Drosophila melanogaster: one gene and its partner. The protein of the gene in region 1 purifies or fractionates together with the protein of each later gene. This does not show direct contact. Each region holds a gene or a part of one and is shown in the gene's direction. Other genes may lie near its edges. The genes, in order: Vps16B and Vps33B.

What was found.
Region 2: the proteins of Vps16B (region 1) and Vps33B purify together in Drosophila melanogaster (affinity purification with western blotting, with the first as the bait; one study listed by BioGRID). This does not show direct contact.

Annotation. Positions count from the first base shown.
Region 1 is NT_033777.3:29,814,277-29,818,611, reverse strand, and holds Vps16B (vacuolar protein sorting 16B), read left to right. Parts: upstream 1-2,160; 5' UTR 2,161-2,205; coding exon 2,206-3,549; 3' UTR 3,550-3,691; downstream 3,692-4,335. Other genes in the region: CG7829 (uncharacterized protein), read left to right, coding at 884-1,270, 1,322-1,696; ca (claret), read right to left, coding at 4,181-4,335.
Region 2 is NT_033777.3:25,471,523-25,476,290, forward strand, and holds Vps33B (vacuolar protein sorting 33B), read left to right. Parts: upstream 1-1,967; 5' UTR 1,968-1,993; coding exon 1,994-2,050; intron 2,051-2,105; coding exon 2,106-2,206; intron 2,207-2,263; coding exon 2,264-2,582; intron 2,583-2,646; coding exon 2,647-4,092; 3' UTR 4,093-4,234; downstream 4,235-4,768. Other genes in the region: CG4553 (uncharacterized protein), read right to left, coding at 4,240-4,768.

The DNA of each region.
Region 1 (4,335 bases):
ATGAGGAGTGTGGAGTTGGGAGTTGGGAGTGAGAAAGGTACGTACGCAGGTGTCGCGTGAAATCGCTCGTCACCCATTTTCTCCCATTCTAGCCTAATCGGCTTAGGCCAAATCCACCATAACGATTTGTGTGGGCTTATGTTCGGTGTTTACTTTTACTCCATTTCGACTAGCCCCCATCCCCATCCCCCATTCGCACTGGCTGGAGATCAGTGATATCTGCCGATCTCGAATAGCCCACTTTATTGGCGGGGACAGCGCTTTCGACGTGGATATGCCAGTATGCCAGACCAGAGCCAGAATGGCCCATCAAACGGTGTTTGATTTCCAAATTTATGGGTCAAGCCAATGCAAATCAGTTGGCCGAGTCCGTTCGCCGAGAAAACGGGTCGTGCTTTGATAACAAATTGGGCAAACAATAGATGAGTGGAGGCCAGATTTGGCCATTAATGCTATTCAAATGATATACATTTGTGAAAAGCGAGGAGAATCGGACCGAAGAAAGCCCTAGTTATTGAAAGATGATTCATGGCAGATTGCTAGGTAAGTGGCCCCTTGGAGCACCTACTTGGTAGTTAAGTATTCCCTAATTTAATCCATTTGGTCCATTCTTTCCTCGCATTTCAACTATTTTGAACTTTAATTAGTCCGGCTCTTAATAACTGACGGCACGAACGGAGCTTAGTTACATATATTGTATATTCTGTCTGTCGGCGAAGCTGAAACAGTTGCGAGATAAACGAAACCTCTTCCTAATTACAAAGTAATGGGCACTTATTGAAATGCTTTTTCTCATTATTTTTCACGTTCTTCCGTACTTAAGGTGCGATCCAAAGACCGCACATTCCTACTTTAAAGCGATTCTTTCTCCGTTTAACTGCGAATGATGTACAAGTTATGGTGGAAATTGCTTCTCCTCCAGGCTTCTGGGTGTCTATCTCTGGAGAGTCGCCCAGATCCACGCATAGTCGGTGGCTTCCCAGCCGATATCGCCAACATTCCGTACATAGTGTCCATCCAACTGTACGGCATCCACCATTGTGGCGGCTCCATAATAAATAACCACACCATCCTAACGGCTGGCCATTGTCTGAACGGAGTGCCACATCGCCTGCTGAAAGTTAAGGTCGGCGGAACGTCGCGCTACCGAAAAGATGGGGAACTGTTCTCGGTCGCTGACCTGCAAGTCCACGAGAATTTCAATCCCAAGACCATGGACTATGACATCGGTATCATCAGGTTGACCAAAAACCTAACACTATCTAGAAAGGTTTGAAATACTCTCAGCTAAAATGAGTTAGTTCAGCAATTTGCTCTGTAGGTAAAGGCCATTCCCATAAACCCAGAGAGAGTAGCCGAAGGCACCTATGCCACCATTGCCGGCTGGGGATTTAAGTCCATGAATGGTCCTCCCTCGGACAGTCTGAGATATGCCCGAGTGCCGATCGTGAATCAGACCGCCTGCAGGAACCTACTGGGCAAAACTGTGACGGATCGGATGCTCTGTGCAGGCTACCTCAAGGGCGGCACGGATGCCTGCCAGATGGACTCCGGTGGACCCTTGTCGGTGAGGGAGCAGCTGGTGGGCATCGTGTCGTGGGGAGTGGGGTGCGCCCTGGCGGACAAGCCGGGAGTCTACTCCCGCCTCGATGCACTGCATCCCTGGCTAGACCAGGTCTTGAATAAGTCAAAGTAATGCAACATACTTGATTCGGGCAGTTTCACTATTTTAGCAGTTGGCACCCATGAAAGACGCATAAAAACGTGCACGTAAATGCTTTCTCGCTTAAAGTGAAAAAATCTACGCGGATTTAATCGTACAAAATAATAAAAACTTTAAGGTTCATTAAAAGCCAACTATTTGTGAATAAAAGAAAGCGAAAAGAGTTTATGATGAAACTTGATGTTCTGCTGAATTAGCCGTTGCTAGTTTATTGCACAAATCAAATGCGTTCCCGTTTCTAGCCAATTTGGAAAGAAGTTCTAAATTCTAAATTGCTTAATTTTCTGTGTCAATCGTTTGATTCAACGAAGATTATAAACAATTAACAGCTTTTTCATAACGGATTTCACTGAAACTATTTTTAAATATTTGAATAGCCGAAAATAGTGCGACCATGTCTGTGCATTAAACGGTAAATTCATTAGCGCAGCCACACTGGTCGTCACAAAATAGAACCTTACATTTAATAACGAATAATAACAATGGACCTGCAATTGGACAGCGAAAGCTATTGGAACCGATCCTCTCGCGCAGCGTTCAGCTTCGACGACGAAGACGAGGTGGACCTCGCCCCGGATCTGGTCAGCAATGGCATCCTCGCCGACGACACCATTTCGGAGGCCAGCTTCAATAACAGTGTCGCCCTGAATCTCTCGATCAAATCCATTCTGAGCGAGGAGGCATTGAAACTGGTGCTGCAGGAACAGGCGCTGGACGACAGGGTCCTGCCCAAGGGTGTCTCGCCGGAGGAGGAGCTGAAGCTGCTGCGCCGACAGCTTCAGAGCACCCTGTACAGCCCCAATCTAGAAGCCACTGCACAGAAGCTGCTGCAAGGAAAGACTGCGCCCTTGGAGATGTTCAAGTCGCTGCATGAGAAGCAGCAGCTGCTGGACACCCTGATGGCACAAGGTGGTGGGCATGCCGTCATTACAGTGTTGCTCTTCCTCAAGAGAACTCTGAATACCACGCAGTTTCATGGCATTCTGAGGGAGAGACCCAAGGCCTTGGAGCAGTATCTGAGTTACCTGAAGGAAAGTGGCGACCTGGCGGGCCATATTGAGCTACTGCAGCTATTTGGACGCCACCAGGAGGCGGCTCTTAAGCAGTTTCAGGCAGCGCTCGCTTCCGGAGATACGAGCACCAGGAAGAAACACCTCCAGCTTTTGGTGGATGCCTATGCCACAGCGGGAGTGGGTGTAATACCTCTCTACGAGCAGGTTTTTCACGCTGCCCTCAAGATGCAGCAGCTAATGGAGAAGGATAGCGCGCTCGGCAAGCTGCTTCGGGATCAACCCACTCCAGTGGAAGTGCTCTATGCTTGCTGCCAGGTGAACAGCAATTGGAAAGAGCAGGATATGCTCAAACCAGTGTCACCTCAGCGTTTTGCCGCCGACCAGCAAATATCGCCGGCCCAGTACGAGTGGACGGCGCTCAATGAAAGGGCGCAGGCACAGGCTTATGCGGATCTGGAGTGCATATTTGAGCGGGTGCCCAGTTGGCATCCGCTGAAGACCAAACAGTTTCACATCAGCTTCGATCTGACGCTGGCCGTGCTCCGGCTGTACGAGCTGCAGGCTCCCTCGACCGTCCTTCAGCTATTCCTCTCCAAGATGGGCAACAGCGTTGAGAAACTGGCGCTAGCCCAGCGGGTGAAGTGCATCAAGGCGGTCATAGATGCCATGGCCGGGTTGAAGCAGCAGCAGGAGCTACAGCAGCTCAAGGACACCCTGCCCGAGCGATCCGAGGAGCAGTTCTACTGCGAGAATGCGCTGAAAAGCCTCCAGAGCAAGCGATGGACTACGGACAACATCAAGCTCAAGTTGTAAAATTGACTTTCTTTTACTTGTATAAACGTATTTTATTGTTAATCATTTATATGTGTATATAATTATATTACTACTACTCTGGTTTTATTAAATAATTGCAAATCACAAGCTGAATATCGAATAAAAAACAAAAATTTGTATCATTTGTATGTTTCATGTGTATATCCTGCAGCCTCCGTTGATCTGTTCGATGAGCAGTTTTGGATTACTTTCCTTCGGTCTCAGATTTTTGTGTAGTTTATTGAGTAAACAAATAAAAGCAGGCGTGGCCAATGGCAAACAAAGCGTTACAAAAATTGGATTCTTTAAACAATTTGTTTGTCTTAAATATTTCGTTTAAATAACAGCGCTGTAAAAAGCATTTGATGTATAAATAACCGCAAACAACAATTATGGTATATATATATAGTTACGCGTAAAAATGTAAGGGAAGATGGGTTCTAGGAGTTGGGAGTCCGGGAGTCTGTGAGTCTGGGGTTGTGTGTGCTGGGGGCAGTCCTCGGTTCTAGGTCAGAACTCATAACGAAACATATTAAACAAGACAGACGGGCCCTCAACTGATGCGTGTTGAACGAAATTTCAGAGGATCCAGGATCTGAACCGGAAACGAAGCTCCAGGGCCCAGCCACTGCTAATTGGCAGCATCGCAGTCCGAGTAGCTGAGCAGGCGCTGGCACAGGATCGTCTTGAACTTGACCGTAAAGCTATCGAATATGACATCGGTGTCCTGCAGCTGCTCGAGCTCCTGGCCGGCGGACGTGGCCGCTTGATTGCTGTCCGCAGCCG
Region 2 (4,768 bases), 4.3 Mb from region 1:
GTTTGTATTTTATGCAATACAAACAAATCTCTTAAGATTTGTTTAGTTCTGAAATGATGATTCATGTTTAAAATTTCTCGCACTTTCGAGAGCAAACCTACAATTATAAAAAGAAAAATAATATGAACGCAAATTTTACATTATTTATGCTTTCAATTATAAAACAATAAATATTAAAAAAAATCATATATAGTTGAAACATTCTAACGTGACTCTCCTAACAAAACATACTGTTGCAAAACCTGTTCTAAGCTAAACTACTTAAAAACCTTTTAAAACTTGTAGGCAATTAGCAAAAGTTGAACAGTCTGGGCAAAAATTAAACTTTTAAATAAATCGAAAGGCCAATAAATTATAAAACCCATGGCAAAAACTTATTTTTAATGGGAGAGAGGGAAATACAAACAAATAAAGCATAATTGGGAGGGGCAACAAGAACAACAACAATAAGAAACGGGCATTAGAAAGATGAGCACGAAGAAGAAGATGCGATTAGAAGGCACGGGAGCGCAAAGAATAGAAAAATTAAAAGTAATCTAAACAGCAACCTGTGCAGCGTGCCCGAGCGAGACAGCTGCTCAAACCGGTATCGCAACAACAATTGAACCGCAAAGAAAACGCGAAGAAGACACACACACGGACTATAAGAAAATAATGTTAGCCACTAAAACAAAAACAGAACGAAGCGAAAACACAAAGATAATGATTGACAAAGGCAACAATGTACAACTGCAAGCAGGACAGAGTGAGAAGGAGAGAGCGGTAAAAAAGAGACGAATCTGCGGCACAAAAGAGAAGACGAGAACATGCAACAAGCTGCAATTGCCCAAAATAACAACAACAAACCAGACCGCACGGCTATTTTTGTCATTAGATTAAATATTTCACATATTTTTGCACAGTTTCACCCACATGCGCCAAACCCAAATTATTTATAAACAATGTAAGTGCAAGCTCACCTGATAACTGCAAAATAGGCGCCTGTAACTTTTGATAATATGGAAAATCTCAATTTAAATTTGTTGTTGGCTGTTGCTTTGCTTGTTGTTGCTGCCGCTGCTGTTGTTGTTGTTGTTGAATTTCACGCGAAAGCAGGCAAGACAACAACATAAAATCACAAACACTTGCACGCACATACGTCACACACACCCGCACACACACTTGGACAGCTGAGACATAAACACACGGAGAGCAAATCGCAGCGAGAATGGGAGAGAGAAAGAGACAGAGAGCGATAACAAATTTGTTTTCTGGTTTTTCTTCACGATTTTATTACACGCTTTTCGAATGGCTAACCATATTTTGATTCACATTTAATTCGCTCCAATCACAGTGTGTTCCGTGCGCTTGCTAATTTTCGATTTTCCACCGCAGAACTCCGCCCGTTTTGCTGCTGTTTTGGCAATCGTCTCTCTCCTGGCTAAAAACATATGATTTCGGTTGACGGAATCACGATAAAAACACATAAATGCGAACAGGGCGCGCGCAACAACTTCCCACGACAAACTCTCGCTTCGGAATTTGGAACGAAACTGCCACTTTTGCAGCGAATCGCGCTTAAATACCCGTCTAAAGATGGGAACGCATGGCGAACCGGTTCGATAGTTCGTGAGCGAACAGCCTTCGCACAGTGGTATGCAATCAAACTGAGCAGTAGATTAAGTACTTTTGTTTAACAAACCGGATAGCTCGAACTTTGAAAATAAGTTTTGGATCGGCAGGAATTAAGACTGTGCACAATTAATGCTTTTAATGGTGACTCAACACTTTGTGACGTCAGTAGTAGCATAAGTTCAAAATAATTAATTTGAGTATAGCTTTTGTTTAATGTATTGTATAGAATAACTAGTAATACTGCTTTTTTGACTGCGATAAACATTTACGTAATAAAAACTGCATATATTTGCTTTGTGACAACCCTATTTTATTTTGCGTGCGTCACCTTACATTTTGCTACCTTGCTGCATCAGCTGTTTGTGTTGTGCGGCGAAGAATGGATTTGACGCTGGACAAAAAGCTGCAGGGATTCCAGTTGGTGGCACAAGAAAAGGTATAATAATGAATCGGAAGAGTGAAACTATTAACTACCTGCAATTCGACTGCAGCTTTGTTCCATACTATGTAGCATACCTGGAAAGAAGGAGTTAATTTTGGAGCCCGACTTGATAAAGCCACTGGAACATGTTGTCACTGCCTCCTGGCTGAAGTAGGTGTTTAATCCATATTTTATGGATATTTACGTCTTATATATACCCCTTAACAGGTTGAAGGGCATACAACGGATCTACAAACATGATGCGGCACAATCTTTGCCCCGATCCGCCGATCAGGTGCACATCTACATGATCCGCAGTGTTTTGGGTACATTTCAGACACTTCTCAAGCAATTGCAACCCGTGGCCTCAGAGGAAATGCCCGACATCTCCATGAAAATGTATCACATAGTCTGTGTGCCCAGTTGTTACTCCTATTTTCAAACCCTGCTGGAACAGGCTGGTTTGTACGGACTGGTGCAACTTCATCACTTTAACTGGGACTTCATCTATTTTGATCAGGGAGTTCTCAGCTTGGAGCTGCCCAATGTGAGTAGATGTACATTGAACATTCAGAAAAGAGTCTTTTATACTGGATATTCTTATTATTCAGCTTTACGAGTGTCTCTACCTGCAGAAGAACACATCTCCATTGCCTGCGGTGGCCCAGAGCCTGCGATTGCTTCAGATGATTTGCGGACAACCGTCTTTGATTCTGAGCTTTGGCCACCACTCGTCGCAGCTAATGCAAATGGCGAAGACTCTTGGCAAACTTCCGGCGCCCACAAATCCTCCAGACTATGGCGGCTGGCTGGTCATCGATCGGGATAAGGATTACCCCGCCAGCTTGCTCACTCCGGCCATCTATGCAGGTCTTCTCTTGGAAGTTTTCGAGCATAGTTCTGGCGAGATTCTGGTAGACAATTCCAAGAACAAGATCCGCAGCCAGCGTGTGGAGTTACTCCAGGGAAAGAAATCCAAGATAGGCGTAAACTCAGCCAGCAAGCCGTGTTCCATTCGTCTTAACTCCACATCCGATGAGATCTACGGCGATAATCGGTACAAACGATTTGCTCAGGTCAGCAGTTTGATTCACGCACAAGTAAAAGCCCTGGGCTTGGAACTGCAGAAACTCAATGACATGCAGCTGGACGAGATGCATGACTATGTGGCCAGGAAGCTACCCAAACTAACCGAGCTTAAGAGCAAAGTCCTTAGGCATCTGAATGCCAGCGAGATTGTGATCCAAATGATGGGTAACTTCAGGAAGCTCCAAACGCTGGAGGAGGACATACTAAACAATGATTCAAGAAAGCGATTGCTAAGCGAGATCGACGAGCTGTTGACCACAGATGGTCAGAGATTTAATACACTGCGACTGCTGTGCCTCTTGCATCATTGCGTTGGCGTGGCGCCCGAGGAGCTGCAGATATTTGCGCGGAACTACTGCAATCTGTTTGGACACCAGGAATTGGGCGTGTTCCAGCAGTTGTCGCAGGCGGGCTTGTTGCCACCACTTGTGGTGGAGAAAAAGGCGCCAACGAAACTGCTCTCAAATCTACCTCTGCCCAAGTTCCAGCAAACGGAGTTTCAGGCCAATGCTAATCGGCTAAAGCTGTTGACCTCCAGTGGAGATGGTCAGGATGGAGGTTCCTCCTCCAAGAGCCAATCCAGTGGCTTGCAGACCTGTCCCAGTTTTGTGTTCAATGGCACCTACATACCATTGGTGGCTCAGCTCTGCTCCATTTTGCTGAAAATCAATAGTGCTGAGGAGTTGTCCTCGAAGCTGGGCATGATTGAGGGGCTGCATCTACACCTGGACAGCGGAAAAATCACGCCCAAGGCCTATGCCAGCCAAGTGAAGCTAAACGGAGTTGCAGATCAGGATATGTTCCCCTTGCGTCTCAGGAATCTCTTTGTATTCATTGTGGGTGGTGCCAGTTATGCGGAAATCGCCGCCTGCGATTTTGTGGCAAAGCTAACAGGCGCCCAAATAACCGTGGCATCCGACTCTCTAATGGCGGGCAGTGATTTGATCGCCACCGCCTTCAACCGCTGACCATGAAGTAACTAAGAATCTGTGTATCAAATGTTTTATATATTTTTATACAAAACAATGATGACAAAGCTTGTGATTAACAATTTTCGAAATTTACAATTTAAACAATGCTCTTTTCGAATAAATATTACCTAAAAGTGGCATTTGCTATTTATCACCACTGGCTCTGGTCATTCCAGGCACTCGGTAGAGCAGCTCTCCATCGTCATCGTAATAGGCATCCTCCACCCGGTAAGTGGCTCCTTGGCGATGCAGTTTCCGGGGAATAACAATGCGTGTTTTCACCTGGGTTATTTCATACTTGCGCTGATCCGCGGCACTGATCACAATCTCGCTGCTCGCAAACTTGGGCACGAAACTGGGCAGGAATCCGGTGCCACTGGGATTCTCGATGGGCCGCTTCATTTCCTCTGGAACTGCGGGCGCAGACTCAACGAGCTGCAATTCCTTAAGCTCCTGCAGCCGCATCTTCTTTTTATTACGGATTTTGTCCAACAAATAGGTTTCATCTTCGGCAGCAGAGGGTGGAGCTTCATAGCCGGATGGGATTTGTGGTGTAGGCATCTCCTCTGTTGTTTTACTACTGCTGCCCAGCAGTTTGCGGAATTCGTTGCCTTGCGGAGTCGGTAGTTGTGATTTTGTGGGCCAATCCTGGATTTTAAGCTCCCGCAGATCC